Linked DNA regions of Caenorhabditis elegans. The protein of the gene in region 1 interacts with the protein of each later gene in a pairwise test. Each region holds a gene or a part of one and is shown on either strand. Other genes may lie near its edges. The genes, in order: wdr-23 and gen-1.

Region 1 (3,927 bases):
TTATAGAGTTCGTATGATGCATATTTTAAATTCTGAATTCATTCTAATTTCAGATCGCCGACGCCAGTCCACCTTCGTCAAGTCAGTATCGAAAACGACGTCGCTTCTCCGGATCTCGTCACGAATATCGTTAATCTATGTGTACAATGTGTTCCCAACGGGTGTTAAACAGTTACATGTAATATGTCTCAGGCTTTTTACTCCGAAATTTTATTTCCCAACATTTTACAAACCATTATTTGGTGTAAAATTTTATTTAATTGTTTTCAAATTCTTAAAAATTACTAGTTCCCGTTCAAACTGAACAAGAGATAATAGTAATTTTAATTATTCATTAATGAACTCACAATTTGTCAGTTTCTTTAAAAACTCAATTGTGAAGAATGATTTTTCCTCGTAAATTCGAAAAAAATACTTGGAACTGCTCAAATCTTAAAAAATATTTGAAACACAATTTTTCTAACTTTCTATTTTTAATTTAACATGTCTTCTAAAAGGCTCACAGGCTTATTCAGATGAGTCTCGGTGCACAAAAATGTATTGTAGTTTTGTGCCTGCTTCCTCGGATCTTTTCCATGTAAAAGATAAAATAAAAACGAGGAAACTTTCATTAAAAATGCCAGGAAAATAAACGAAGCTGCCGCAAAAATTAAAAAAAAAAGAATACCATAAATTATAATGCGTGCCGAGACCCATTTGAATAAATGCATGCGCCTTTCAGATCGCATGTCAAAATCTTATAAACGTACGATAACAACTTTTAAATTGTGCTAAACTTTCCTTAAAAATATAAATTTTCCGAAAAAAAAGAAAATTATACAGAAGAAAGTTATAGCTAATAGATGAAATCAATTAATGAACCTTCTTAACTTGATCTCAAAGATCCCTTCCATGGAATAGAACGAAGAAGTCATTCTCATCATCTTCCTTCCAACTTCTCCACCACTCAATGACTACGTCGTACCTCTATACTCTCTTCGTTTCATTCACTATCTTCATTCTCCACATCTGTCTCTCCACACATAACACTTTCGCAGTTAGCCTCCTCGCGGTGAATTGTCATCATTTTTGTCAGCGTGCTGTGCAGAGACTTTGTTTTCTATAGACACAGAGATCGGCTACGCGTTCATCTTTTTTTTTCGCCTGCTGGAATTGTTTGAGTTTCTTGTGAGTGTTTGTGTGTCTCTCTAATATCATCATGTGTTTTATCGAATATTGATTTTTCGTTTCAATTCTTTCGGAGAACGAGTGAAAGACGCGTGAATTGTTTCGCTTTCTGCGTCTACACCGAGCCGGATGGGAAGCCCTGAGGTTCCCGTAAGGGTCAAAACGAACATTTATTCAATTAAATGATGATATTTAATATAGAATCAGTGCCTATTCATGTGAAAGTAGTTTGAGATTTCCAATCTTTTTATCTAATAACATTGTTTGTTAATTATGCAACTTCACAAAAGTCACGTTATCAGATGATCACGTGTTTTAGTGATGCATAAAGCAAAAAAAGAATTTATTGAATAGTTTTCTGAGCAGTTCGTTTAAAATTACTCTTATAATTAAGAATTTTCAAAATGGTTGTTTTCACTTTCTCAGTGGGCGGAGCCTACTTAAGAGGCAAAGGCATCTAATTCTTGTGGAAATTTTCGCAGTATCAATAAGAAAAATATACAGTAGATATTATATTTAGAGACTTGAATTTCCTGCTCTACCAATTTCTTGTTTACCACTTTCTCCTGCCTCTTTCTGATTTCCTGCTTAGTCGGTGCTTCCCAGTAGTCAGCCATATCAACCCTATCATTCAAGTCTCCCTTATTAATTGTCATCAATTTCCCTCTTTACTCGTGTTTTGATGACAATCCCTCACTCATTCACATTCAACCGTCTGTAGTTTTGTGTGTGCTGACAAAATCTGAAAAAAAACTTGTTCTCTCGCTACAGTGCTTCGCCCTATGCTCGAATGGGCAACTGGATAACGTCGACGTTCCTCCGATTTGATCTTTTTCAACGTCATCAGCCCAACCGATTTCTCGAATATACAAGAGGTAAGCGAGAAGAGGAAGTGAGATGCTAGTCACAAAAACTACAAACCACATGTTTTCAGTCCAACACAGCAACCAAAGTCCGGCGTATTCCGTGCGGACAGCTGCAGAAATCGTGGCTCATCAAAGGATGAAACCGGTAGGTTTACTTGATCCATAGGGATATAATATGAAGTTAAGCGAAATTTAAAATGCTTTTGCAAAATTAACATTTATAAAATGTCTATTCATTGAAAATATAAACTCAAATTAAAAGCAAATTATCCTGAAAATCAATAAATAAAAATGTGTAGCGAACACATAGTATGTTGTGTCGTCATTTGTCATCACAAAACATACAAAAAATCAACTGATTCTTCCGCAAGTGGGTGGAGCCTGACAGCCCGATCGCGCCAATCGAAGAGGCGCAGACGGGCGACCTGTCTTCTCTGATTTCCCTCTTACACTCTCATTCTCTCAATTTTTACCGCGCCTCCCTTCCTTTTAGGCCCAAATTTTGCTACATTTCTCTAAATTAATATTATTTTTGTCTGAAAAAACGAATCTTCATTTCGTATTCAACGTCTATGCCTTACAAAAGACATTCCTCTTCAAATCTGAAAAGGGTAAGCTTTGTTGAGTAAACCAATAAAAAAAATGATGCGGAACTTTGTGTTCACTAGAGTGTAGTAATCGGCGTCAATCGATTGACGAGAAACTGGTTTTTTTTAATCGAGATCGTCTAAATTGTTTTGTTTCTTCCTTCGTTTCCTTTGAACTTTTGATCTTTGGATATGACCAAGATTTATCAGGAATTGATAAGAGTGGATTCTATTTGAAAAGTATGTAGTTTCATTGTTTGAGTTGATGATTTTATAATGAATGCAGTATAGTTTTGTTATTTCGAAATTTGATAAAAATTATAAATTAACAGATAAAGACTTCGACTTTCGCTAAAAATTCCATATTTTGCTCTATTTTAGCGGTCTAGCTTTTATCAGAAATAATAAAAGAAAATATATATGAAGCTACAGATAAAATAATCATATACATAGTTCCGTGTTGAAATTGCTCTATAGTCATTTGATTTCTGCAAATTTAAGCATATTTTGTAGGGATGATCATTTGAAGCTTTCTGAAAAAAAAAATGATGACAAACTTCATCTCACTGAACTTTAAGCTCAACATTAAAGATCATTTGAATTGGTTTGTACTATAAGTTCCATTTTTAAAAAGAAGATTTGTCAGAATTTTTGATGACTTTGAGATTTTGGGGGACTTCAACTATAAAAGCCTACAATTAAACTACGAATCATACAATTCCCACCATTTATTCAAGAATTCTGACTACAAACCATGAAGTCTTCTTTTCGTTTTATGCAATTGGTGACCCATGATGACAATTCGCTCCCCCTCGACCTACAGTAACCGCCCGTTGCCTCCCGTGGCTCCACCCTCCTCCTTAACACATTTTCCCGATGTTTAGGAGCATTTTGATGAATTTTTAGAAATTTCATTTCCTTCTTACAAACTAATTCGATTCGTAATTTGAAATTCAAGTAAACTGACTGACGCAACACGGGTCTTCTCTTTCATCACTCAACACGCACATTCATTGGTCACGTGTGAAATACAACAATGCAAAACTAGCAAATGATCTGTTCACTAAATGATATTGTTCGAGTATCTAACCTCATTTTTAATTTCAGAATCACAGCAATGACAGTGACACAGACTTCTCGTCGGACGATGAAGGATGTCCGAAGATGACACCACATGAGGAGCAGCAAATGTTTGAAAGGGAACAACATATTGCATTTAGTGGAAGATGTCATATTGGAGATCCGGAGGTTTGTTTCAATTTCAAAAAAAAAGATTTCAATATTTTATTGAAATTTATATTTTGTAG
Region 2 (3,927 bases), on another chromosome or scaffold:
TTTTAAATTCGAAATATGAGTAATTTGGATGAACTTTTTTTGTATATTAATCCGAGTCGCCAAGTTCGATGACATCAGTGGGATATGGCTTGAAGGCACTGCAATAAAACCGTTTAATTGTTTTTTTTTAACGGGAAACAAACTTTAAAAATAAGTTATTTTGCACGAAAATATTAATTTTGAGTGATTTCGAAATAGATTTTTCGTTTTACAATTTTTATTGTCAAATGTTCATAATTTTTCCAACAAAGTCTCACCGTATTTTTACAGATCGCTTTCTGTCTGGAACCTGTCGTTTCGCATGGTGTTGTAAAATTTGTGGAGATTCTGATCGTTTTCGTTTTCTCATCCAAGTATTATTTGCAGAAATGTAGTCTTCAAGTGATTCACATGGCTCTACGATCGGTGTGAAATTCTTCGATTTGGTGGCAGCAAAGAAATCAGGAATTCGAGTTTGAGCCTGGAAATATATACATTTTTGTGAATATTCTAAAATTATTTGCTCACCACAGTTGTCGTCAGATGCACTTTTCTCCGAATACTAAGAGCTAATTCTTTCTGTGTTCTTGTTGCTGGCCAACCACATTCCTTCATCATAATCTCTGCGACTTGTTGAAAATTTGCAGCTCTTGGAATAATTTTCGGAATTTCACTTGATACGGGTGGCCGAAGATACATCGTAATTGCATTGCTGAAAATTAAAAAAAAAATAGATACAGCAACTTCTAATAAAAACTAACTGTACGGCATCACAATTAGGAAATCCAACAGGAAAATTATACTTTTTTCGTCGTAAACGAAGCTTCCGTTGGGTGTCTTCTGAACGAGCTGGAATTTCTTCGCGTACGTATGACCTGAATAATAATAATAAAATATTCATAATAAACACAGTTAGAACAGCTTACGCAAAACGATCTAAAATCACATGAGGATCTATTTCTTCATTTCCGTCGTCACCAAATTCTCCCAGAATATCAAAAACCGAGACAATTCCAATGTTTTGAACACCACGTTGAAAATAGTCGCAACCGAGAAGAATTGCAGTTGAAATTAGATGAGGACGGGAGACTTCTGAAACAACTTTTTAACGATTACTTTATTTTTTCAACGCTGAAAACTACTTACTTTTCTCCATAAACATTCTTCCCAGGGAAAGATGCATGATGTCATGAAGACAAGCGGTGGAAGAAGTGCCGGCGGTAAAGTCAAATCTGTACAAATTCTTTCCGCCAAACAAAAAGTAATCGAAATCTGTCGTTATACAACCACTTGTCACTCCGAGATCTTCTAACCGTGCACATTGAGCTTCACCATCTCCTGGAGCAATGATGACTTTTATCCCAAGTTCTGTGAGAAGAGCCTGGAATTTTTTTCTAATTTACAGGTTATAATATTTAAAAAAAAACATACATTTGTTTTGTACACATGATCCACTAAATTTGTAAACGGAGAGTCTCCAAAACTTCGCCTCTTTCGTGGCACAAATTCGTTCTGATCTTTCTGAAATTTTGAAGTTAATTTTCAAATACACGTTTTCACTCAATTCCTTCCTACCGATTCATGAGCAGATGAACTTGCGTTAATATTGTCGAAAACAACAATAGGAATAATTTTTAGCTCCAAGAGGCGTTGGATTCTGCAAAAAAACGTTAGATATAGTAATTTCGGAACATTTAAAATAATATTCTTACCTTGTGAAAAATGTGACCAGGTAGCTGTTAGGAGTTTGTTGATGATGAGCTTCACAGCCTTTCAGGCTTTCGTATAACCAAATGTGGCCATCTGAACATTTTTTTTTTAAATTTGAAATTAAACTTTAATCACTCACCGATCGATAATGTCTTATCGCGCATGGTCTCATTTGGCACTTTTCGAACTACGTGGTTCGCCCACTCCCATATCCCGTTAATAGTCATTCTAGTAGCATCTAAAAGTGAGGGAAATGAGGGAAAATTCGAAAAATAATCGAAAATAGAGGAAGAGAGGAGCCCGCGTCAGTTAATGTGCGCGTAAATCGACATGAGAGACGACGAGGGACGGGTCTCACCACGATCTTGCGTCTTTTGAATTTGCCACGACTACACACCGTTGGAGAATGGCTCCAAATTGCTCGATTTCTTTTGTTTTTCATGCCATTTTACGATATCTTTGTGAGAAATACATTGAGAATTTTTATTAGTAACATGAATAACATAAAATAATACATGAATGGAGCAAGTTGCGCTCAAAATATTAGGCTTTGTTTTAACCTTTCGTGTCCAAAAATCTATTTAATGGTTATTGTTTTTTTCTGCAATCATTTGTGATGAGAAAAGCTATTTATTAAAAAACACAATTTCCAATATTCATTCCTTCCTATGACTATTTCGTCCACGTCAACTATATTCAAAACTCAAGAATTTCTCTTTTCAGGTAATGACATCAACAACGGCGGCTCGAACAGCGAGTAGTCGCGTCGGAGCGACAACTCTTCTTACCATCGTCGTACTGGCTCTGGCATGGTTCGTCGGATTCGCCTCCCGCCTTTTCGCCATCGTCCGCTTTGAGTCGATTATCCACGAGTTCGATCCATGGTTTAACTATCGCGCTACACATCATATGGTTCAACATGGTTTCTATAAATTCTTGAATTGGTTTGATGAGCGTGCCTGGTATCCACTTGGTCGTATTGTCGGAGGAACTGTATATCCAGGACTCATGGTAACATCTGGATTAATTCACTGGATTTTGGATTCCCTTAACTTCCATGTTCACATTCGTGAAGTTTGCGTATTTCTGGCTCCAACATTCTCTGGCCTGACTGCCATTGCCACCTATCTACTTACAAAGGAGTTGTGGAGCCCAGGAGCTGGTCTTTTCGCCGCTTGCTTCATTGCTATTTCTCCAGGATATACCTCCCGTTCAGTTGCTGGATCCTATGATAACGAGGGAATTGCCATCTTTGCTCTTCAATTCACGTATTATTTATGGGTGAAATCGCTCAAGACCGGATCGATTATGTGGGCTTCGTTATGTGCCCTTTCATACTTTTACATGGTTTCCGCATGGGGAGGATATGTTTTCATTATCAACTTGATTCCACTTCACGCTTTGGCTCTCATCATCATGGGTAATTAAAAAAAAAATTAAATGCAATTTATCAGTCGCAAAAATTTTTATTTCAGGTCGCTACTCGTCCCGTCTGTTTGTTTCCTACACATCGTTCTATTGCCTTGCCACCATCCTCTCGATGCAAGTTCCATTTGTAGGATTCCAACCAGTTCGTACTTCCGAGCACATGCCAGCTTTTGGAGTATTTGGTCTTCTTCAAATTGTTGCTCTCATGCACTACGCTCGCAACCGCATCACCCGGCAACAATTCATGACTCTCTTTGTGGGAGGATTGACCATTTTGGGAGCTCTCTCCGTTGTTGTTTATTTCGCATTGGTTTGGGGAGGATATGTCGCTCCATTCTCTGGACGTTTCTACTCTCTCTGGGACACCGGATACGCGAAAATTCATATTCCAATCATTGCTTCTGTCTCTGAACATCAGCCAACAACCTGGGTATCATTCTTCTTCGATCTCCATATTACCGCTGCTGTGTTCCCAGTTGGATTGTGGTATTGTATTAAGAAGGTCAACGATGAGCGTGTTTTCAGTAAGTCTAAACAATTCTGGATATGAATATTTTTAAAATTTCGTTTTTCAGTTATCCTGTACGCTGTGTCTGCGGTTTACTTCGCCGGAGTCATGGTCCGTCTCATGCTCACCCTCACTCCAGCTGTTTGTGTGCTCGCCGGTATCGGATTCTCTTACACTTTCGAGAAATACTTGAAGGACGAAGAAACAAAAGAGCGTTCTTCTTCTCAGTCAGGAACCACAAAGGACGAGAAGTTGTACGATAAAGCCGCCAAGAACGTCAAATCCAGGGTACCTGAAAGTGT

Evidence for each region.
Region 2: the proteins of wdr-23 (region 1) and gen-1 interact in a two-hybrid assay, tested with the Caenorhabditis elegans proteins (one study listed by BioGRID).

Annotation. Positions count from the first base shown.
Region 1 is NC_003279.8:7,594,569-7,598,495, forward strand, and holds the start of wdr-23 (DDB1- and CUL4-associated factor 11 homolog), read left to right. Parts: upstream 1-1,938; 5' UTR 1,939-1,957; coding exon 1,958-2,042; intron 2,043-2,101; coding exon 2,102-2,178; intron 2,179-2,445; exon of another isoform or gene 2,446-2,605; coding exon of another isoform or gene 2,606-2,644; intron 2,645-3,727; coding exon 3,728-3,868; intron 3,869-3,927. Other genes in the region: D2030.8 (PC-esterase domain-containing protein 1B), read left to right, coding at 1-7, 54-134. UniProt on the Caenorhabditis elegans protein: Involved in regulation of lifespan. Required for dopaminergic CEP neuron degeneration in response to Mn(2+). Inhibits the skn-1-mediated up-regulation of tatn-1.
Region 2 is NC_003281.10:6,246,232-6,250,158, forward strand, and holds the start of gen-1 (GEN1 Holliday junction resolvase homolog), read right to left. Parts: upstream 1,928-3,927; 5' UTR 1,917-1,927; coding exon 1,829-1,916; intron 1,783-1,828; coding exon 1,692-1,782; intron 1,637-1,691; coding exon 1,555-1,636; intron 1,501-1,554; coding exon 1,411-1,500; intron 1,361-1,410; coding exon 1,126-1,360; intron 1,072-1,125; coding exon 906-1,071; intron 855-905; coding exon 741-854; intron 692-740; coding exon 508-691; intron 461-507; coding exon 258-460; intron 99-257; coding exon 47-98; 3' UTR 1-46. Other genes in the region: Dolichyl-diphosphooligosaccharide--protein glycosyltransferase subunit stt-3, read left to right, coding at 2,416-3,109, 3,165-3,641, 3,693-3,913.